Linked DNA regions of Tamandua tetradactyla. The protein of the gene in region 1 purifies or fractionates together with the protein of each later gene. This does not show direct contact. Links are inferred from orthologs where the notes say so. Each region holds a gene or a part of one and is shown on either strand. Other genes may lie near its edges.

Evidence for each region.
Region 2: the proteins of NAP1L1 (region 1) and MAGED2 purify together in Homo sapiens (affinity purification with mass spectrometry; 4 studies listed by BioGRID and IntAct, counting the BioPlex papers as one, with this or other methods). This does not show direct contact. The link is inferred for Tamandua tetradactyla from reciprocal best matches to the Homo sapiens genes NAP1L1 and MAGED2.

Annotation. Positions count from the first base shown.
Region 1 is NC_135333.1:144,963,653-144,975,264, reverse strand, and holds the start of NAP1L1 (nucleosome assembly protein 1-like 1), read left to right. Parts: upstream 1-6,370; 5' UTR 6,371-6,551; intron 6,552-7,114; exon of another isoform or gene 7,115-7,321; intron 7,322-11,612. UniProt on the Homo sapiens protein: Histone chaperone that plays a role in the nuclear import of H2A-H2B and nucleosome assembly.
Region 2 is NC_135353.1:113,825,568-113,837,254, reverse strand, and holds the start of MAGED2 (melanoma-associated antigen D2), read left to right. Parts: upstream 1-6,945; 5' UTR 6,946-7,073; intron 7,074-7,608; exon of another isoform or gene 7,609-7,732; intron 7,733-8,564; 5' UTR 8,565-8,589; coding exon 8,590-8,637; intron 8,638-8,743; coding exon 8,744-9,235; intron 9,236-9,858; coding exon 9,859-10,167; intron 10,168-10,286; coding exon 10,287-10,350; intron 10,351-10,615; coding exon 10,616-10,695; intron 10,696-11,182; coding exon 11,183-11,277; intron 11,278-11,687. UniProt on the Homo sapiens protein: Regulates the expression, localization to the plasma membrane and function of the sodium chloride cotransporters SLC12A1 and SLC12A3, two key components of salt reabsorption in the distal renal tubule.

The DNA.
Region 1 (11,612 bases):
CTGGCCAACAGGAACTGAATTAAGTGTGTACACATCTTGCCAACTCTTCTCCTGTGGTCTCTCTCTTTTTATTTCTTTCCCCTCTGAGGACACTTTGTATGTAGTACTCTTTAGCAGCTTGTGTTCCACGGTGGGTCTCTGCAGACTTGGGTCCCTGTGCCTAGATACGCATGGGGTTCTAACTCGCCGCTGTGAGTGTCTCTACACTCTGCATCTATGGCAGGGAGATCCAGGGCTTTGCTGCCTCCACGTGACTCCCAGTTTCACAGGACTGAGTGAGAGGAAAGGGTCTGGACCATCAATTCTGAGAAGGAAATGTAGAGCATTGTGCTTTTTCTTTGATTTAATGTGTGTGGAGCCCTTCTCCAGTCTCTACCATCCTCCAGGGTTTCATGCAAGTGCAATTTGATATTATATTACCTGATTCTAAAGGGAGACTTTTCCAAAGGATGTCTTATGTTGCCTTGTTGATGACCTCATTCATTCATGTTACCATTACATTTGATTTCTGCTACATAATAATCTATGATGGGCATCACCACATTTCACAAACTATTTTTTCACTACTGGATTCCCTGTCTCCTAATTTTACCATATAGTTTATTTTCCTTTTTCAATATGATCTCAAAGGTTTTAGTATTTCTTTACCTTCTTTTTACCACCGAGTTGTTTCACAGATGAGGGGAAACAATATCCAAACAAAGATTGACAGAATTTTCTTCCATAGACTCTATGCTAAACATAGAATTGATATAATGGTCTTTGCAAGAAAGGATTATTTATATAAGGTTATTGTGACTTCCTGTTTTTTTCAATGACTTCTTTCTTTTCTTTTTCCCTTCTTTCCTTTCATTTTATCCCTTCAAATAAACATTTTTGAAGGTTTTCTCCCTGCTAGTCATGTCCAAACTAGGGGTTTGAACAAAAACAAGGACACTGCTTTTTCACAACTAAGAATTTGGTACATATTGGGAGAGAGGAAAGTATGGGCTCGTAACAATTATAAGAATTATCTAGAAATGTAGAAGTGTGTGCAACCACCTCAGCCTTGGTGCATCAGGGAAGATTCCCAAGAGAAGTGAACATTTGAGTTAGACCTTGAAGGATAAGTAGAAGAGGAGAGAGAAGAAGGCATTGAAAACACCTGGCGTGTTGAGGTTTGAAAGAATGTATGTACCCTAGAAAAACCATGTTTTAATCCTAATCCCACTTTATAAATCCAGCCATTTCTTCTAATCCCTATTCAGTACTGTATGTTTGAATCTGTAATTAGATCATCTCCCTGGAGATGTGACTTAATCAAGAGTGGTTGTTAAACTGGATTAGGTAGAGATGTGTCTCCACCTATTTGGGTGGGTCTTGATTAGTTTGCTGGAATCCTATAAAAGAGGAAACATTTTGGAGAAAGCTGGAGATTCTGAGAGAGCAGAATGACACAGCCACGAGAAGCAGAGAGTCCATCAGCTAGCGACCTTTGGAGATGAAGAAGGAAAATGCCTCCCAGGGAGCTTAATGAAACAGGAAGCCAGGACAGAAAGCTAGCAGATGATACTGAGTTCACCATGTGCCTTTCCAGATGAAAGAGAAACAGTGACCATGTTCGCCATGTGTCTTGTCACTTGAGAGAGAAACCCTCAACTTCATTGGCCTTCTTGAACCAAGGTATCTTTACCTGGATGCCTTACAGTGGATATTTCTATAGACTTGTTTTAATTGGGACATTTTCTCGGCCTTAGAACTGTAAACTAGCAACTTATTAAATTCCCCTTTCTAAAAGCCATTCCGTTTCTGGTATTTCACATTCTAGCAGCTAGCAAACTAGAACAAGGTTCTCCTGAATAGTTCAAAGTTATAAAATATAGGGTTCATGTAAGTGGTACCATAGCATGTAAATGAATAAACAGCCAATATAAATGGGCAACATAAAGGATCTTTGTGTTAATAGGACTGTAGTGGTAGATACACAAATCTATATATATAGTAACACTATATAGATCTAAATTCACAAACACACAAATGGGTCTGCATAAAACTGGAATGTATGAATAAGATTGTGGGTTGTGTCAAGGTCAGTATCCTAGTTGGGATATTGAACTATAGTTTTGCAAGATGTTCCCACTGGGGGAAATTGGCTATGGTTTACATAGGATCTCTCTATAATTTTTTACAACTGCATATGAATCTATGACTATATAAACATTTCTATTTAAATATGAAGGTACAATAAAGGTGTTTTCCAATGAAAATGTTTATTAATCCTGCTTCAGATGTAGAGGGAGAAATTTAAGAAACCTTGTCCACAGGTTCCCGTTCGAATTTTGACTGATTTATGTTGCATTTATACATTAATTTGGAAAAATAATACCAACCAGACCTACAACTAATATAATAGTAGTTATTTCAATGTGTCTTGAGCAGTTTTTAGATGATGATTATTATTGGTGCTCTTGGAACCTTTATATACTGATTAGCTCAGAGGGGAAAAAAATGAACATTAAACTAGTGCTTAAAGCGCAAGTCATTGCTGTGGGGCTTGTATACATTTTTCTAGTTCATGCTATGAAAGAGGCAGTTTTCAGTGGAATTATTAATTAATTTTCCTGATGGGAAATCCTGAGGCAAAGTCACAGAGTATTTGGATGAAAATTTATGCAAGTTTGAAATACAGACATAGAACACAATATACTCTTGCCATCTTGTGTGGTTGAATCCTACAGTATCTACATCTAAATATGTTGAATATAATATTTTTGTGGTAATTTGGTATGGATTATTTCTGCTCAGGAAAATGTTTTAAAATTTGTGAGAAGATAGCTTTTAATAAAGTAATAATTAAAAAGAACATCGGATACTATTAGAAGACTTCAGAGATGTTTCTGCAACCTTTAAATAAAACAAAAATAAAAAACACATCAGTGAGTTTCATAATGGTGAGCTTTTTATTGAATGTTCAGTATGTGTTGGGCACTATGTTTATCAGTTTACATGTATTATTAAAAATTTCATAACATCTCTTTGAGGAACGAACTTTTTTGTCTCTCGTAGGATTCAGATGTGGAAACTGAGGCTTAGGGCGTTTAAGTGACTTGCTTCAAAATCACACAGTGGAATAGGGAGGGAACCTGCTTTTTGACTCCAAAGTCACATCTGATTTCAAAGCCACACCTCTAAACCACTAGGATACAATGCTATAATAAGCTACTGTGGGAGTGCAAGGGTAGTTCAGTGGTAGAATTCTCACCTGCCATGCGGGATACCCAGACCATGCATCTCCCCAAAACAAACAAGCAAAGAAAGAAAAAAACCAAACAAAAATTCAAAAAATGGTGCTGCAATAATGGGATACTCACATGGGAAAAAGAATGAAATATGAACCCACTATACAGCATACAAAAAAAAAAGCTACTGTGCTGGTGTTTGAAACTATTATGCATCCCAGAAAAGCCATGTTCTTTTAATCTAATCTTGTGGATACAGACTTACTGTAGATTTTATTAGGTTGTTTCCATGGAGATGAAGCCCCACCCATTCAAGGTGGGTCTTAATTAATGAAGTCCTTAAAAGAACACATGGGGAGAGAGACAGAGATCAGAGCCAACACAGACAGCAGAGAGATGAAACCAAGACACAGACATCTGGAGAGGCAGAAGGAGCTAAGAGAGCTATGTGAACCCAGAAGCCAGGAGAGAAGGATAACAGGTGTAGCCATGTGTCTTCCCATCTGACAAAGAAACCCTGGATGTGATCAGCCTTTCTTGAGAGAAGGTATCCTCTTCCTGGCACCTTAATTTGGACATTTACACAGTCTTAGAATTGTAATTTGTAATTTACTAAAGCCCCTTTATAAAAGCCAATCCATTTTTGGTACATTGCATTCTGGCAGCTTTAACAAACTGAAACAGCTACCAAATGAAAAACATGGGGTATGAAGAAAAAAGGAACTTCAAGTGAAAGTTTAGCATGACCCAAGTTCAGCAACACCCTTTACTGTAACTAAATTTTGGAGATCAACAGGGGTTGATGTGAAAAAAAAAACCACGGTGGTATCTTCAGAGCAATCACCTTTTACCCTTTTGTTTCATTTTATTTCCTTCATAGCTCTTTCACTTACCAATATCTGAAATTATTTCATTATTTGTTAATCATTTGCTCCCCCTCACTATAAACTTCAATAAAATCAGGAACCTTGTCTTGTTCATTGCTGCACTTCCAAGGGTCTCAAGTTGTGGCCAATACATAATATTTATTGAATGAGTGCAGCAATGTTTGGCCTTTTCTGGACTTAAATGGTAAAGGTTTAGATTTACAAACTGGTTCAAAAGACCACAATTAAAAGACAGGCTTTATTAGCATGTAAGTTTCTTACATTGGCTAGTATACACTAAAAGGAGAGGAAGAGGAGGCTAGAGAAAGAAGCTAGAGGAGTGGGCTGGAGAAAAGAGGAAAGAAAGTATGTAAACTAATAATTGTAAATCCTCAATTATGGGGGGAGGGGTGGAACCTAAGAAATTAGGAGCCTTAGGACATTGGAGTGTCTGAAATTAGTGGGGCTCCCTTGGGATAGAAACCATTATAAAGTCTAATTTCTCAATTTTGTTTCAAAAATTCTCCCACCATGAAGGTTTATGGAAAGCAGGTGAGCATTATTTACTTCATTTTTAATATGCTAACTACCTTGGACTGTGGATAACTTTGATTAGAACATGACAATCTGGAGGGTGCCATTAAAATTAATGCCAAGTTTATGTACAGTTTGAGAACTGTTCTACTTCATGTATAGTGGGTTCTTCATGAGGAGTCATCATTGATGTTATTATAATTAGGGTTATCCTAACATCAAGGTGGAGTAGTATATGAAGAAGGCAGGAAAAAATAAAACTCTCAGATATGAAGAACCAAAATGATTGGGTAAACTGGGGCATCTGTAATGTGCAATGGGAAAGGAAATTAATTTCAGTGAGGTTGGGGACTGCCAAGAAAATAACTATATCCTTTAAGATGGAACAGAAATAGTTGCTATACATGAGGATTATAATAGATTATTTCAGATAGTTTGAAGACTGCAATATGTAGAGTAAAGGACCTCAAACTTTTTGGTCTCAGGCCTTTTTTACAGTAACTCTTAAAAACTGAGGACCCCCAAAAGTTCCTGTGCATGTGTGTTATATATATTGATATTTACCACATTAGAAATTAAACTGAGACATTTTTTAAATGTGCATTCATTGATTTAAACAGTAAACCAAATATTAAGATGTTTTATGAAAAATACTTTCCAAAACAAAAAAAATCGAGTGAGAAAACTGGCATTGTTTTACATTTTTGCAATTCTCCTTAATTTCGCTTTTAACAGATGGCTGGATTCTCATATCTACTTCTATTTCCATCTGTTGCCATACGACGCTGTCCTATAGCCACTAGAAAACTCCCTTGTACACTTCCGAGAGAATGAGAGTGCAAAAGCCAAATAATGTCTTACTATTACTATGAAAACGGTTTTGACTTCCCCATGTAAGGGTCTATAGGACCCTTAGACCACACCTTAAGAATCACTGTTCTAAGGAGTTGAAATTAGTCAACCCAGTATCAATTGAAAAACAGCCTGTGGGTTCATACGATTAAGGATATACAGTTTGTTCTTTTAGAGAAAGAGGAAAGCTATGGATATGGTGAGTGTTTTCATTAAAAAAAACATCCAAACAATACGCCACATTAATCCATCAAAAGAACCAAAGTAGAAACGAGGGTTCTCATGCCAGGTAAAGATGGAGGGTGTAAAGATGGAGGGTGTACGGGTGAGGCGCACCCGGGAAGGCCTGGAGACACGCTGAGCTAAGAAGACGCCACCAAAGGTGGTCACGGGGGAAGAACTGTTGCTCTAAGAGAAAAATACGGCAGAGACGGAAAATGTTTACCACAGAGTTGCAAGATTAAGGCCAAGAATAAGACCGGGATCTACACAGGGACTGAGGCGCACACTACGGCAGAATGCGGCAAGCGGGGCAAAAGATGGATGGCCCCCCTCCCCCTATTCCCTTCCCCATTCCGGACAACGCTGAGGGTTGGGGGTGGGGGGCGATTTGGGCCATGGATGAGGCCGGAATCAGAGCCTCAACCTAGAACCATGGGGTTGAGAATTCCTTCCCAGTGTAGCAGAGAGCAAAAGAGACTACGCAGCGTGTAGCAGGAAGCAGAGGTTAGTCACAGGCGGGAACCGGGGGAGTCCGAGCGCCAAGTAAGAGCCGCGGGGCGGGAAGAGCCAGCAGCAAGAGCGTGGAGGCCGCGGGGGAAGAGGGACAGTTCTGTTGCTAGGAAACCGGGCCTGGACCCGCCTCCTCCTCGCGTTGCTAGGAGACGGAGAGGCCGGGAGGAGGGCGGCGGAGCGAGTCTACGTGCTGACGCTAATTGTATATGAGCGCGTGCGGCGGGCTCTTGGGTCTTTTTTAGCGCCATCTGTTCGCGGCGCCGCCTCCTGCTCCTCCCGCTGCTGCTGCCGCCCTGAGTCACTGCCTGCGCAGCTTCGGCCGCCTGGCTCCCCGTACTAGCTGCCGGTAACGGATGGGGGCCTGGAAGGGAGGGGAACCTGGAGTTGGCCGAACGGCCTACGCAGAGGGAAGGGAAGAACAGGGAACTGAAAGTGGGGACCGTGGGCGCCTGGTTCTCCTTGGCTGTGCTGTGGGGTCGGACCTGTCCGCGGAATTTCGACTCCTCAGCCTTCGAGACGGCCGCAGGACTGGCCGTCGTTTCTTTCAGGGACTGCTGAGGAGACGCAAGGGTCGGTGCGGCCTTTGGCGACCCGCGAGGCCTGTGGCGGCCGGTCGCGCTAGTGTGCGCCGAGGTCCTCCGTGCCTCACCGGCTTCTCCGTGTGGACAGAGGGAGGCCGCGGCGCGCCCTGGACGCCCTGAGAAGTCAGCGGTAGTGCCGTGAGGGACCGGGAGGCACCCTTGGTGCGGGCCGGGCCCTAGTACGGAGCCCGCCGCCTCCTCGACGCCCCCGCTTCACCCTCAAAAATAATTCCCGGAGGGAGGTCGCGGGGGGATGGAAAGAACAGCGGAGGCTGCGAATTCCGACGGGTGGGAGGGGCAGTGAAGGGAGGAGGCCCTAAGGCTGGGAGGGGGCGGGGGAGGCTGCGAGCCTCCCGGCTCTCCGCCCACGGGCGGCGGTGGCGGAGCTAGGAGGGGAAACCCCGGCGGCGTCCCTCGACACGTGGTGATGGGCTTCGAGGCTGTCGTCTGCGCCTGATTAGAGACCCCTGTCTAGGTTGTTCTTACTTAACTAAAGTTTTTGAGATCGTGGGCTAGGAAAATGAATAGGGAGCAAGTAAGTTCAGCCCCTGAGGCTCAAACTGTTCCCTTTTTCTTCCCTTTGATCTTAATCTTTCTATTTGTACGGGAGGAGGATATGAATGTTAGTTGATGGGCAGTGCGGATCAGGACCGCTACTGCCACGATTCTAAAGAATTAGCGCGTGTTAACAAAAGGTTGTTATATAGTGTATCTCAAAAGCACAGAAACTGAGTGGGTGGTTGTCTTGACCCAGGATTATTTGGAGGAAGAAAGGTTGATTCTGATCAGTCTAAACCTAAACTATTCTAAAATGGAAATAAAGGATTTGGCCTGTAATATCTTTAATTCTTCTATGACTTCTCTATAATTTCTTAGAAATTTCTTTATTGACATTCCCAGAATAAGATACTTAACTAACCATCTTGCTCTTAAATTGAATGGAGAGGGTGGGGGGAGTATGTATTAGAATGAGGCGTTTATGTAAATTTATTGAGCTAAATTTGTAGTATGCTTCCTTGTCCTCAGAAGTCTGGGGAGAGCTAGTAAAGTGAGGCAGTGGTTTGGGGTCCTGTCTGGGAGGACTGGGCTTTCAGAAAAAAAAAAAAACCTGTATGGGAAGGGTAGTCAAAGAACTGTTTCAGACTATCACTGCTTGATTAGTTAGTACTGAAATGACTAGCTGGTTTCACAAACATACACTGCTTGCCTGTTTTCAGGAATGCTGTAAAAGGGAATTTGCTCATGTAGATGAGGTTAAAACATCTTTTCAAATTAGTATCTAGGTCCTACTTTATTGTCAATTTAAGTTAATACTCCTATAAGTACTTTTACTAATGATGTAATGCCCTTGGCCTTTGGAAAAGAGAATAACTTTATGTACAGAATAACTTAAAAGTGACAGGTAAATGAGGTTTACATGAATCTTCAGTGACTATCACAGATCTAGTACCAAGGTGGTTTGAAGTTCCCCAAGTTCAAATAAATGACCCACATCTAAACTGTTTAATTTAGTTCTAAGAAGACTTGCAGATTCTTGGGAAAACAATGGGCCTAAACATCGAAAGGTGGATTTGGACATCTATTATTATATAATCTTTGATTCTCTTTTCAGGACATTGTTTATATTAATTTGTGAACTAGCATTTACAAAGTTTTCACCATACCACTTTGAAAGTCTTTGTAAATTTTATCTGTTGCAAAATAACTTTCTGATATTTTGACGGAATTATTAACCTAATAAGGACACACATGATTGATTGTCCTTGTTCCTTAATGAGAATAAAAGAACAACTCCATCAGAAATAATCCAAAATGTTGCTCTATTTTCCAGTTTGTCCATGTTGGTTCAGGTGACTGATTCCATTCTAAACTCCGAGAAATTTTCTAATAAAGGGTTCTTTTATTAGAAGGAAGTAAAAGAGGCAGAATCTCAGACTTTAAGACTGAAGGAGGTTATCATTCATGCATACTCTTAATAGCTTGGCTCTTTAAAAAATTCTATATTCACATTTCTTTTCCTAGTTTCCACCCTGTAAAATAACCATCTGGGGTTTTTTAAGACGAGTATATGTAGCTTAGTTTTTTTAAAAAAAATGTTTTTTATTGTGAAATATATGAAGCAAAGAAAACAATTTTTAAAGCATACTTACGCAAGTAGTTATAGAACATATTTCAGAGCCTGAAGTATTAGCTGGCGCATAACAGGCATTTAATAAATGTTAAGTGAAATAAAACACTAGTTTGCTTACTTTGTTCATTTTTGCTCGATTGTAAATTTGAAGTATTAATGGAAGATAAGATCAAAAGGAATCAATCCTAATCGGTATAGAAATACTGATTATTTGAATTCTCAAGACTAACCAAACCCATAATTGTGTTTGCTTTTAGTTGATTTTGAGTAAATAATTTTACCTATTTTGACACGTATTCTAGATTTAGGGGTTATTTTGTGAGCAAAGCAGGCAAATCGGTTACCTAACTGAGTTTTAAAATGTCAAGTTGTGATGGGTGCTATGAAGAAAAAAGTGAAAGGGTCATTATTTGAAGGAACATGTTATAGTGGTGATATAAGTCCCATTTCAGACCAGTTTTGAACTGAATAAGAAGTTATCTTGTTGAGGATTGGAAGTTTCAAGTTACTTAGTGTAGAAAATGGCCTCTATACTTCTGGTTACCAGTTCTGTTTTTCACTGCTACATATTTTGATGCTCTCGCCTGTTCAGAAGTTTTATGTATTTGAATTTTTATGCGAATAGGAAGCTTTAGTTTTGAGGAACACGGAATTACTTATGCTGAAAATACCTTAGAAAACTCAAGTGAAGAGGGCATAGTGTAGTAAATAGTGTAATAATCAATATTTAATGGATGACTATTTGGGTGCTGTTTTAAATTCTGAGTTAACTCATCTGGTGCTCCTAATTGGTGGTATTAGCTTTTTTTTTTTATTGTTATTAGCATTTTAAAAAGGAGAAAACTGAGGCACAGAGAGGTTTAATGATTTATCCAAGGTTACATGATTAAGCAGTAAGTGTGACTAATGATATGGTGATATTTAGTGTTTGCCTGACTACTGATTTTTAAAGACAGTTCTCAAATTGTACATCTGTACATCAGCTTGAAATTTGAGAAGCACTCAAAATTTCTTGGGTTCGCTGTGCTTCAGGGGAAACCTTCAGCACTTCTTCGTGATGATGAGATCTTCCAGTGTCAAATCTATTTACTTACCACTGGTATAGTAGCTTCTTGGCCTTATGACTGACTGCCTGTTGTACGTATTCTCTGATGAAATTGTTTGTACCTGTTAATATATTATGTGGAATGGTTTGGTGAGTTTTTTGCAAATATCAGGGATAGTCAAGGGGGCTGTAACCTGAGGGCCAGTGAAAGGAGAAATTCTCCTTCAGTGAGAATTTGAAGCCAGCATTTGGTGACTACCTGGAGAGGTGTTCTCTCCATGCCAGGTGGAATCAGTTCCCATATTTGAGTTAGAGAGTTGGGATATTTAAGAATGATTGTTTATATAGTATAACAAAAAAACACTGCCAATTAGGTAAGGCATACTGTTCTTCCCTTGCACTTGAGACCTAACTTCAACTCAGCTATGTTTCTCTGCTATTGGATCAGGTAACACCGTAGGTATTGAGAACCCTTGTGCAGAAGACACGGTGTTTTCAAATAAGTGTCCATTTTGCTTTGGGAGATTAATCAAAGGTCAGTTGTGGATTGACTCAATATCCCGGAAATTGAAAAGTGAGCCTGAAGAATAGATTATTCTAATTTAAGGTTGTATTTGAACCAAATAAGATACTGAACCACTGCATCATTGAAAATGCTATTAAGAGGACAGCAGTGTCTGAAATAGATTTATTAAGCACAGTGCGTTTAGAATAGACAAAAGCTGAGAGAGAGGAAAATTAATATACTTGGGACATTCCTGGTTCCTTTGAATTCTTAGCTTTAAAACATTTGTAATTTTTAATTGGTCATTTTCTGTAAAGGATTAATAATCAGGTTGTTACTGTATAATCTGTGTAGCAGTAGCTTGATTGGGGGGACACTGCTTTCTGCAGTAGGAGACCAGAAGTAGATTTTAGAAGGCCACATTTTTAATCTTTGTTCTTTTATTAGTTGGTGTTACTGAGCATGGTGTGTAATGTTTTACCTGCAAGTATGAGGAAAGCTTATAAAATCCCTTAAACAGTAGCATTCCATAAATATGGTTTTTCTTGCTTTTCATTGAATATAAGGAGGAGTTTATTCAGAATGAAGTTTACTTTATTGGTGGTGAGTAGCTTTAATGGATAGTATGTGTCTGGAAAAGTGACTGTTTTCAGCACCTCAAAGTGATCAGATTGTGGTGTGATTTAGTGACTTACCCTCTTCCCCTCTTTTTTCCCAGTGGTAGATTTTCTTACTGTTTTAAGTTTCTGAGGTCAAGACTTTCCTTCAGGTCATGTTATTATGAACTGGTGGCTTTTCTTTCTCCTGGATATCTTCTGTGCATTACATATGTTGGGTAGTACATTGAACCTTTTATTATAAAATGACCCTTTTATCTCTAATAATACTTTCTCTTAAAGCTTGGTGGTTGTGCTTTTCCTCCCTGACTTTAGTACAATGATACCAACTTTCTTTTGATTTAGGATTGTATTTTTCTTTGAAATTCTCAACAATTGTCAATAATTTGGTTTTTTAAAATCCAGCTTGACAATTTTTTTTAAATGGGATCCTGTAAATCAATTTACATTTTGTAAAGTTACTATGGGTAGATTTTAATTTGATTATTTTGTGCTATTTGTCTAACTTTTTAGGGGTTGACTAAAGAT
Region 2 (11,687 bases), on another chromosome or scaffold:
GGCTGGAGGGAAGTTCCTGAACTGAGGAGCTGTGTTCCAATAGCCTTGTTTCTTGAAGATGATTGTATAATGATACAGCTTATATGTATATATATATAATATGACTGTGTGATTGTGAAAACTTTGTGTCTGATGCTCCTTTTAACTAAGGCATGGACAGATGAGTAAAAAATAAATAATAGGGAGACCAAAGGTTAAAATAAATTGGGTACATGGAAATACTAGTGATCAATGAGAGGGAGAGTTAAGGGGTATAGTATGTAAGAGTTTTGTCTTTTTACACCATGTATGGAATGTTTGTATGTTAAGAATGCTTGTGTGCTTTTATGTTGTTTTATTAATAAAAATATATATAAAAAAGATTAGAGCAGAATGGGGCATAACTGAGATCAAAAGCATGTGAAGCCCCCTGTTCTAGTTTGCTAGCTGCTGGAAGGCAACACACCAGAGACGGATTGGCTTTTGATAAAAGAGGATTTATTTCATTAGCTCTTCAGAGGAAAGGCAGCTAACTTTCATCTGAGGTTCTTTCTCACGTGGGAAGGCACAGGACGATCTCTGCTGGCCTTCTCTACAGGCCTCTGGGTTCCAACAGCTTTCCCCAGGGTGATTCCTTTCTGCATCTCCAAAGGCTTGGGCTGAGCTGTGAGTTCTGAGATGAGGTATGCTGAGCTGCTTGGGCTGTGCTGCGTTGAGCTCTCTCATTTAAGCACAAGCCAATTAAGTCAAACATCATTCATTGCAGCAGGCACACCTCCTAGCCGACTGCAGATGTAATCAGCAACAGATGAGGTTCACGTACCATTGGCTCAAGTCCACAGCAACAGAACTAGGTGCCTTCACCTGGCCAAGTTGACAACTGAATCTAACTACCACACCCACTGAGTTGGGGGAGCAGTGGGGGAGATGTTGAGTTGATGGGAGTCAGTCTACCTGTGAGAACCCAGTGATGCTCTGAATTTGGTGTCTGGAGGTACAGTGAAGAGTGGGAGTGAGGAGTGCAGCTGAGATGAAGGAAATCACTTGAACGTCTGTGTATAGGACATCAGCATCAGTCACAACCCCTATTTTTCCCCCTTCTGCCCACATAAAGCAACTGCAGCTCCAATACTTTCCTTCAGACAAAATTCATGACATTTTACAAACTACCTAGGGATCACTAAGACTGGTGTTATGGCATTTGGCACCACAGAACAAAAGTCTCCTCATTCTGGCATTTGGGGGGCCCATAGCATGTTCTCCTTAAAGCCTGCCAGTTGTCACTTTCCCTAGTCCACATAAAGTCTTCTGACAGATTTTCCTCACAGGAAAGATCCCTAGCTAGAAAACGGGCTTACATAGGGAGCCTACATTAGCTACCCAATCCTTTTATCTTAAATATGAATGGATAACCAAGAATCCTCAGGCAAATCAAGGGAATCTCCAATACGAAAACAAAGAACTAAGATAACTGCAACAACTGACCCCAGAAGAATTCTGGAATTTGGGAAACAAAAGAGAATTTCAGAAAATAAAATGTATAATATTCTCAGCAAGGTTATTAACATCCATATAATAGGAACTAGGTCCCATACAAATGGCTAAAAAGCACATGGAAAGATGCTTGACATCACCAGCTATTAGGGAAATGCAATCAAAACCATGATGAGATATCATTTCACACCTACCAGAATGGCCATAATAAAAACTAACAGAAAACTAAAAGTGCTGGAAAGCATGTGTAGAAAATAGAAATGATTATTCACTGCTGCTGAGAATGTAGAATGGTGCAGCTACTCTGGAAGGCAGTTTGGCGATTCTTCAGGAAGCTGAATGTGGAACTGCCATATAATCCAGCAATCCTGTTACTAGGTATATACTCAAAAGAACTGAAAGCAGGGACGTGAATAGACATTTTTAGATCGATGTTTATAGTGGCATTATTCACAGTTGCCAATAGATGGAAATAGCCCAAGTGTCCATCAACGGATGAATGGATAACCATACTGTGGTAGATATATATGATGGAATATTATGCAGTTATAAGAAGGAATTAAGTCCTGATGCATGCAACAACATGGCTGAACCTTGAGGAAATTATGTTGAGTGAAATAAGCCAGGCACAAAAGGACAAATATCATATAGTATCACTAATATGAACTAATTATAATGAGCAAACTCTTGGAGCTAAAATCTAGAGTATAGGTTACCAGGTGATAGAAAGAGAGTAGAGAATGGGCAGATTGATGCTTAATCTGTAAATAAGGTTTAATAAGGTTGATTGTAAATGTTCAGAAATGGATAACACAACACTACATGGTGGTAGCACAATACCGTAAAGTGACTAACGGTGCTGAGCGTGAGTATGTTTGAAAGGGGAAGTGTAGGGTCGTGTATGTCTTTAGAAGGAAAACTAGGGGATAAAACGTGGGTCTGTATAACATAGCAAAACCTATAGTGGACAATGACTGTGGTTAATTGTACAAATATAAGAAAGTTCTTACATGAACTAGAATAAATGTACATCACTATTATAAGGTGGTAATAATAAGGTGGTATATGGAAAAATACAATTAATGCAAACGGAGGACTATAGTTAACGGTGATATTGAAATATTCTTTCATCAATTGTAACAAAGGCATTATACCAAAGTTGAGTCAATCATGGGGAGGGGGCATAAGGGGTATGGGATACTTTTTTCAGAGAAATGAGAATGTTCTCATATTGATTGTGGTTGTGATGAATAGCTATGTGACTAAACCAAGAACCACTGATTGTTCACTTTGAATGGATTGTACAGTGTATGAATAAAACTGTTTTTTAAAAAGAAACTAGGTTTTACAATACAGGAACAATAAGAGAAAAGAAGGACTACTTGGATATTGACAATAAATTGGTGAAATAAAAAAAAATCAGCAGAAGGACTGGAAAATGATGTACAGGAAATCTCCCAGGATATAGGGCAAAACAAAACAAAACAAAACAGAAAATATAAGAAAATTTAAGACACATAAACCAATCTAGCAGGCTTAATATCTGAATGGAAATCCCAGACAGACATAATAGAAACAATGGAGGAGAATTTGATTAAATCACATTAGAAGTTATGTGTAGGACAGGTATCCAGAACAATGAATGTAGGAAACAGTGGATCCAACCGAAGCCATTACTGCAGCAGCCTCTTCACTGGTCCTCTTTTTTTGCTGTTGTCACTCCTTCCCACCCCCATCAGTGTATTTTTACAGTAGCTGGAGGAATCCATTTTAAAACCCAAGTCATTTTCTGTCTCTCTGTTGTTCAAAATCTTCCTGTGGATCTCACTGTGGCTTATAGGGCCACATTTCCTATTACTTCCCTTCCCACTTTCCCCAGCACTAGCAACACTGATCTTTATACTCTTCAAAATTGCCAGGCATGGAAAAAATAAGTGCCAGACATAGTCCTAACCTAGGGCCTTTGCACTGACTTTTATCTTCTCTCTCTAGACTATCAATTCCAAAGGAGCAAGGATTGCTATCTGTTTTGTTCACTGCTGTATCCTCAGCCCGTAGAACAGTGTCTGGCACATAGCAGACACTCAATAAATATTTGTTGAATGACTGAATATGATAAAGACAAATAATTCAAGGAAAAAAGAAAAGTTATTAGAAACTCTATGTGTGTAGGGGGGGACTGTTAAAAAATCGTAGTCTAAATATTAAGCAAAACAAAATATAGTATGATTGTTAACAGCTGGAGTATAAGAGGAGCTTTCTTTTGACCTCGATGCTAGAGACGTGTTACTCTGAGAGGCCCAGGGATTGTGACATGGACTTGTAGAGAAGGAAATGTATTCCTGGCTCTCTACTTGGCTGAGTTTTGAAAAATATTTACAATGTCACGATAATGTAAATGCTGTCTATTGATTTTCAGGTTTTAGAGTCAACCGGGGGGCAAAGTAGAGAAGACTTGGTTGTGGCTGCAGAGCAAAATATAAATGTTAATAACCTGGATAATGTAAAAGGAATAATGAAACTGACAGTATGATACATTGTATGGGCAGCAGGTAGGTAGTGGTACTAATAACCTTGTCCTAAAAAGTGGACAGTCTCAAAAATGGATGGAACGAGAAATAAAGATTTGATTATATTTTTAAATCAACCAAGAGAAAAACACAAAAGAGTATCACTGTTAAATGTTGCAGAAGAGTGGAGGGAAAAATGAGGCAGTGTACATAAACAAAACCCTCATTTCCATACTGGGGAGTCAGTGGGATATTGTCTAAATTTTATCAACTAAGAAACAGAGGATATGTATATTATCTAGAGTACTGAAGGGTATTGCCAGTAGAACTAAAAATAATAATAATAAATGGTTTAAAGATTGCTTCTTGGGAGTGGGATGGATGGGGAAGATTGAGGCAGGGACTGTTGGTTTTTATCATAAATTCTGTACTATTTTATTTGTTGCCACATATATACATTGCTGTAATAAAAATCAAATGCTAACTTTATGTTGATATTACAACACACAAATAATTATATATCCTATGATGCCTTATGACAATATCAAAATTGGCTTTTGGCTATTCAGTTAGACTCTCCCCTGCTGTAAGTCACCTAGCAAATGTTTATGAAGAGGATCAGAAAGGATATTTTGACACTTAAAATGCTGGAGATAGTGGCTAAGGTAGTGTGTCTGGTGTGAAATAAAGTTGGTGGATGGGGAGCAGGAAAGTGGTCAGCTGATGTCACAAACTTGGAGGAAGCAGCAATTTAGAGAGAGAGGAGACAAGAGAACAAAAGCCTACCTTGAATGCCTGGGAATGTGTGAGTATGCGCATGTTTTAAATTGTCCATGGAATATATGGACTCATGATATTTCACTGTTTAGTAAAGGCCATCAAGCAGAAGGCTTTGTGGCCATTTGAATTACATCGAATTACATGTAGGAAAGATATTGACTATTTTTTCTGTAACTGACCACTGTGCTGAATTTTATTATGGTTTTTCATAATTTTTAAGATGATATTCCTGGGTTTTCCAGGTTAATTAATGACAATTTTGTCTATTTTCCATTATTTATACATTTTATTTTGTTCTCTTGCATGGAGTTAATTACTTATGTGAATCTAATATGTGTGATGGCTTAGAGCTGTGCACCCTAGAAAAACATGTTCTTAAACTTCATTCATTCCCATCAGTGTGAACCCCTTGTAAATATGACATTTCAATGAGGTTACTTCAGTTAAGGTGTGTCTCAGTTGGATCAGGATGCGTCTTAATCCTATCACTGAAGACCTTATAGGGAAGGAAGGCCAAAATGGTAGAGAAGCCACAGGGAGCAGCCACAAGCTGGAAATCAACAGAACCTGGAAGAGTAAAGGAGAGGCCTGGAGAGGCCTCCATGTATATTGCTATGTGACAGAAAAGCCAAGGACCAGCGATCTCTTGCAGCCAGCCCCAAAACATAATTGTCTTCTGGGAGAAAGCATTGCTTTGACAACTCCTTAATTTCGGACTTCTCCTAGTCTCCAAACTAAGCCAATAAATTCCCATTGTTTAAGCCAACTCATTGCATGGTATTTGATTTAGCAGCCATGAAACAAAATAATGTGTGATTAAGTCATCATTTCAGATCAATAGCAGAGTGGATTAGTTTGTACATGATATATGGATAGTGATTATGATTTGGGGACATTAATAAAACTGAATTCCCTACCTCACTCCTTTTACTAAAGCAAATTTTGGAATGATAAAAATTTTAATGTAAATAATAAAGCCATAAAAGTGATTGAAAAAAACAGGGTGGGCCATGGTGGCTCAGTGGCAGAGTTCTCGCCTGCCATGCCCGAGACCTGGGTTTGATTCCCGGTGGTCACCCATGCAAAAAAAAAAAAAAAAAAGTGATTGAAAAAAACAAACAGGAATTGTTGTAGTTTAGGAGTGTGGAAAGCATCTCTAAGCATGATGCAGAACCCAGATATGATAAAGGAAAAAAAACTGATATATTTGAGTAAATAATAAACTATTTTGTATAGCAAAAATGATCATAAATAACATGAACAGTATTTGCAATATATGCAGCGCATAAATATATGAGGACATTATTGCTGGGAATGTTATTCCATGTATCTTTTGGGCTGTAACTTGACAAATTTTGTATCAAAATGGAAGACTTTTTGTAGCATTTGGGTTAGCAAAACATACCATAAATAACAAACATATTTGACATAGAAACATATGCTAAATACCATTGGTGAAAGTATTATTCAGTTTAATATTTTGGGGAGGCAAGTCTGCAAATCTTGTATTAAAATGGAAAACTTTTCTAGTACTTGACTTAGCAATTCCACTTCTATGAGTTTATCCTACAGATACAAGCACAATTGCAGAAGGATACAGATACAAGAATTCTCCTTGTAGCATTGTTTGTAATAACAAACAAAAATAAAACCAAAAAAAAGGAAGCAATCTAAATGTCCATGGATACTCGGCTGGCTAAATAAATTATGGAGCAAGTATATTAGAAAAGATCATGCAGCTAAGAAAAATGTGAACTGAGATAGATGTTCAGAATATATAACTGGAAAAAATCTAGTTCACGAATGACTAGTGTACCATTTGTGTACCATATAAGTGTGCCATTTGTGGGGGGAAACCCAAGTAATAAGTATATGAATAGAAAAAGCTGGTGGGATGCATGTCAAAATATTGAGTGGTTATTTCTGGGGGATGGGATAAGGGCAGTACTTCACTGGTATGTTATATATTTCTGCATTATTAGAATTTTCACGACAAGACAGTACCTTTGTAATAAGGTAAAATAATGATATAAAAATAAACAAATTCAATGAATGAAGGGCTTTGAGGGGGTGGTTTTGGTTGGAAAGGCTTCAGACCAAGCCTAGTACAGTGGCATAGGGCTTTGGCGTCAGACAGCCTTGAGCCGGGCCCCATTGCCCCACCCCCGAGGAAGGCGAAGGGTGGGGTGGCAGGGGGCTGCGGAAAGGGGCTGGGCTGGGCTGGGCTGGCTGCAGCTTTAGCCCTGGAGTCTGAGACTTCGAGAAGGACTGAGAGAAGGCAGACGCATTCCGGACTCGGTCGCGGACTAGGTGAGGGTCGTTGAGATTGGGGTTCCCTCGCAGTTAGACAGTGGTTCCAGCTTCTTTGAACCCATAGCTAGGCAGGTGGGCAATTCTTACTGCAGCACTGCAGCTGGCGGAGACGTGACCCGGAGTGGGGTGCAGCTACGACGACTGATAGAGTAGTAGGCTGTAGGGACTGGGGAGTAGAGAATAGCGGGTGAGGAGGGGAAAAACCGGGAATCCGGCATGTCGGGTGGGGGACGCGGTGTACGACGGGGGAGGGGAACACTGAAGGGGAATGGAGATCCAGAGAAGAGAATAGGGATGCACAGAGGGATTAAGGAATAGTGGGGGGTGGGGGAGCATAGGTAACACGGAGGAGGATGTACGGAATGGAAATAGAAAATTCCGTGGGGGCAAACAGAAAACGTGATGGGGGAATAGGGAATACGGAACGAGGGACTACGGGGGTGGGGTGGGGAATAAGGAATGAGGAGCAGGGAATGGGGGAGGGGCAGACAGGCTGGGACTGAGGCCCCCTAGGGAGGCGGAAAGGGGCGGGACCACTTCCGGCCTGAAGGGGGGAGGGCAGTCTTCGAGTTTCGGAGGGGCTTGGAGAGATCGCACGCAATTTGGGGCTTGTAGGAGGACGAGGTGAGCTGGGCCCAGCTTCGGATCAGAACCGGGTAGGTGTTGGCCCCACCCTCTGGGATCTGGCGAAAACCTGCCATAAGCACCGGATCATACTGGATCCGTCCGGCTGGGAAGGGAAGGCACTGGACCCGGTTTGGCCCGGCGCAAGATGGAACCACTAGTTCAATACTGATCTGAGGAGGGGGATGTATTAGGGAAGGGTCACTTTGCCCTATTTAGAGGGGGGTGTGTTAGGAAAAAGGGCGGGACCAGGAGGCACTGTGGACCTGGTGGGGTGGGTGTAAGTTGGGGAGGGGCCGGGGCCACCAGACACTGGGATAATTTGGGTGAGAGGCTTGTTGGAGACGGGGCGGGAACTAATGGTACTGGAAACCTGGAGAGAGGCGTGTGTTGGGAAAGGGTGCTGGGCTGAGACCATTACCAGCGCGCATGCGTACTATGGATCGCTAGAAAGGGGCGTGTAGAGAAGGGCCGACCGGGAGACGGGCCTGCTGCCGAGTGCGCATGTGCACGGTGGACCGCAAAGAAAGGGCTTGTGTTAGAAAAGTAGGCGGAGCTGAGATGGGCCTTGCAGCGGACGCGCATGCGTACTATCGACCTGCGGCTGGGGGTGCATTGGGAAAAGGGGCGGGGTCCTTAGAGCTGCCGCGCTGGCACATCTTCCTGTAGAAGGGGAGGGTGCGGCTGCGGAGAATTGGGCTCTAGACGCTCTGGATTCCTTTATCTGAGAACGAAGTCGTTGCGGTTGGGGATGGGGGAGGTGTGGGATTGGGGCCCTAGGGAAGGTGAGGGTCAGCCTTAAGCAGAAAACGGAAGAGTACGTTCAGTGAGCTCTGCCGTTGACCTAGGCTTTCTTTCCTTCAGGCTCTTTTGCTAGGCAATTTGAGAAATGTCTGACGCAAGTGAGAGTGGTGGTGCGGGTCCATCCCATCTCCAGGTGAGGCCACCTCTTGTCCTCTTCCCAGCCCTGGGATTTTTGAGCCATTTGCCTAGTTGGGGGTGGGGAGAAGGTTCTTGAACTTTCCGGCTTCCTCTTCTTGCAGGCTGAAGAAGCTTCAGAAGAAAACAGCCTGATGATGCAGACCCTATTGACAGTGACTCAGAACTTGGAGGTCTCAGAGGCACCAAAGGCCTCAAAGACATCAGAGGTCTCAGAGACCCTAAAGGTCTCAAATACCCCAGGGGCCTCAAAGACCACAGAGGTCTCAGAGGCCCCAGAGTCTCAGGAGGCAGCTGCTACCCAGGCCTCATCTACCACTCAGCTTACTGATACCCAGGTTCTGGCAGCTGACAGCAAGAGTCCACCTGCTGACACTAAAATGCAGAATACTGACTCGCAGGCTGTGACAGTACCTGCCAGTGAGCCCAAAGAGGTCAGCTGTATGGGTAGCACCCAGGTCATTACAAAGGCCCTGGAAACTGAGGCTGCTGCCTCTCAGGCTCTGGCAGATAAACCTGAGTCTGAGGATACAGCTGCCCAGGCTCAGGAGAATCAGGATACCCGGCCCAAAGTCAAGGCCAAGAAAGCCCGAAAGGTAAGAGCTCTGTAGTTTCCACCCTGGCGTTTCCATTCCCCCTGTTGGTTCATTTGTTATATAAAAAGTTACCAAGGTTCCCTGTGCTCTTCAAGACTGTGGGAACACTGAGAGAAATGTGATATAGTTCGTATTTTCAGAGAACTTACATTGGGGGAGAGATGAGATATGAATATACTTAGTTGCAATCTGAATATAATTCAGTTTATATTTACCATGTGTTAGGACTTGAGCTAGGCACATTCACACAGGTTATCTCATTGAATTTTGAAGGTAACTCCTACCAGTTAGGGATCATAGTCTTAGTGTTATGGAGAAGGAAGCTAAGCCACAGAGAGATTAAGTGACTTGTCCAGGGTAGTACAGGCAGAGCCAGTAGTGGATATAAGAAGAGAAGAAGCCTTACGTCCCACCCTTGCAGTGTTTCTGGCCTGGTGGGGAGATTAAACTCCTGCCTGGAAGTCAGTGAAAGACAAACTCAAGACTCTGTATGACACCAGAGGCTAGTGAAGCAGGCTGTTATTATGGGGTGGGGTTGGGGAAGCTTCCTGGAAGTCTCAGCATGAGGAAAAATGACCATCTGCTTCATCTGGTGATGTTGAGCTCCCTCTTTGTTGATACAGGTGAAGCATCTGAATGGGGAAGAGGATGGCAGCAGTGATCAGAGTCAGGCTTCTGGAACCACAGGTGGTCGAAGGGTCTCAAAGGCCCTAATGGCCTCAATGGCCCGCAGAGCCTCAAGGGGCCCCATAGCCTTTTGGGCCCGCAGGGCATCGAGGACTCGGTTGGCTGCTTGGGCCCGGAGAGCCTTGCTGTCACTGAGGTCACCTAAGGCCCGTAGGGGAAAGGCTCGTCGTAGAGCCGCCAAGCTTCAATCATCCCAAGAACCCCAAGTGCTGCCACCTCGGGATGTAGCCCTTTTGCAAGGCAGGGTAAGAACTCTGGCCGTTCCACTCTGGTTTTTCTACTGCATTGTCTGCCCTCTGCTCTGCCATGCTCTCAAATCTTCTGGAAACATATCTGATCTTTCCATCTTTTCCTCTTCTCTCAGGCAAATGATTTGGTGAAATACTTGCTGGTTAAAGACCAGACAAAGATCCCCATCAAGCGCTCAGGTAAAGCCTTACTAACCATCAGCTCTCCCTGAACTCTGCTCTCCATTGCCCTCTCTCCCATGTGCTGGGGGCATCCTTTGCTCTTATGCTCAGACCAGTGTCCTCCCGTAGTTCTACTTTGGCAGTGCTCGCATTTGTGTTCATTAGCACAGAACCGTGCTACACCACCCATAGCATGGTTGGCAAGGGTCTATAGCTTGGGCAGGGCATGGGGGCCGCCTGGCTTCTCTTCAGCCCAGGTGCTCGCAACACTCTCCCCTTGCAGACATGCTGAAGGACATCATCAAAGAATACACTGATGTGTACCCTGAAATCATTGAACGAGCAGGCTATTCCTTGGAGAAGGTGAAGGGGTAGCCCTGGGGGATGGGCACAATGGGGAAGCCCTGAACAAAGGTGTACATGTCCCTTCTGGGAGGGACCACATATACTTGCTAATCCAGCCCTATCACTGGCAAGATGGTAGCCTAGGGAGGGGCATAGACTAGCCATGAATTACATAGCCAGTCAGAGGTAAAAGCACAGCTAGGACCCAGTCCACCCAAATTCTTAGTTGTGGCTTCTGTCCACTATTGGACGCATCCTGTGATGTATTTCAGATGATTACCTCTCCCTTCCATTCCCCATTCTCTGTCTCCTTAGATTCCCATTAATTGCATAGAAAACAGTAGTGCATTTATTCCGTGATTACTGTGTGCCAGGCACTTAGCTAAGTATTTTACATGCATTATCTCACTTATTTCTGACACTCAAAACCCTAGGTACATGGGGAACTGTGGTTGGCTAGGAAGCTGAATTTTTTGGCCTCATGAGGTGTTCTCCCCATCCATAGGTTTTTGGAATCCAATTGAAGGAAATCGATAAGAATGACCACTTGTACATTCTTCTCAGCACCCTAGAGCCCACTGATGCAGGCATACTGGGAACGTAAGCTGGGGAAGGGATTGGGTAGAAGAGGATTTTCTGTTTTTGTCTGTTACTATCCCTTCCATGTTTTCTCTCTTATACACTCTTAGAGAGTCAGGAAAGACAGGGATTTAAATGCTCTATTCCAATTCCTGCGTAGTTGGAGCCCTACACTCATAGTGGTGCCTGATTTTGAAGGGTATAGAATAAGTCTGGGCTAGGGCATTCTTGTCAGGTTTTTTATCCCTCCAGAAGCTTCCCAGAAGAGCAAGCCTGCCATTGCTTGTCTCTTCCTGCTGTGTGCCATGCCTGGCTTTGTTAGAGTCTTCTCACAGGAGGCTTCTTGGTGTGGGTAGGTTATGATGTTTGAAGGGCAAGAGAATCATCCTTGGGGCTGTGCTTAGAATTCTGTTAAGGTTAAGGGTTCTTGG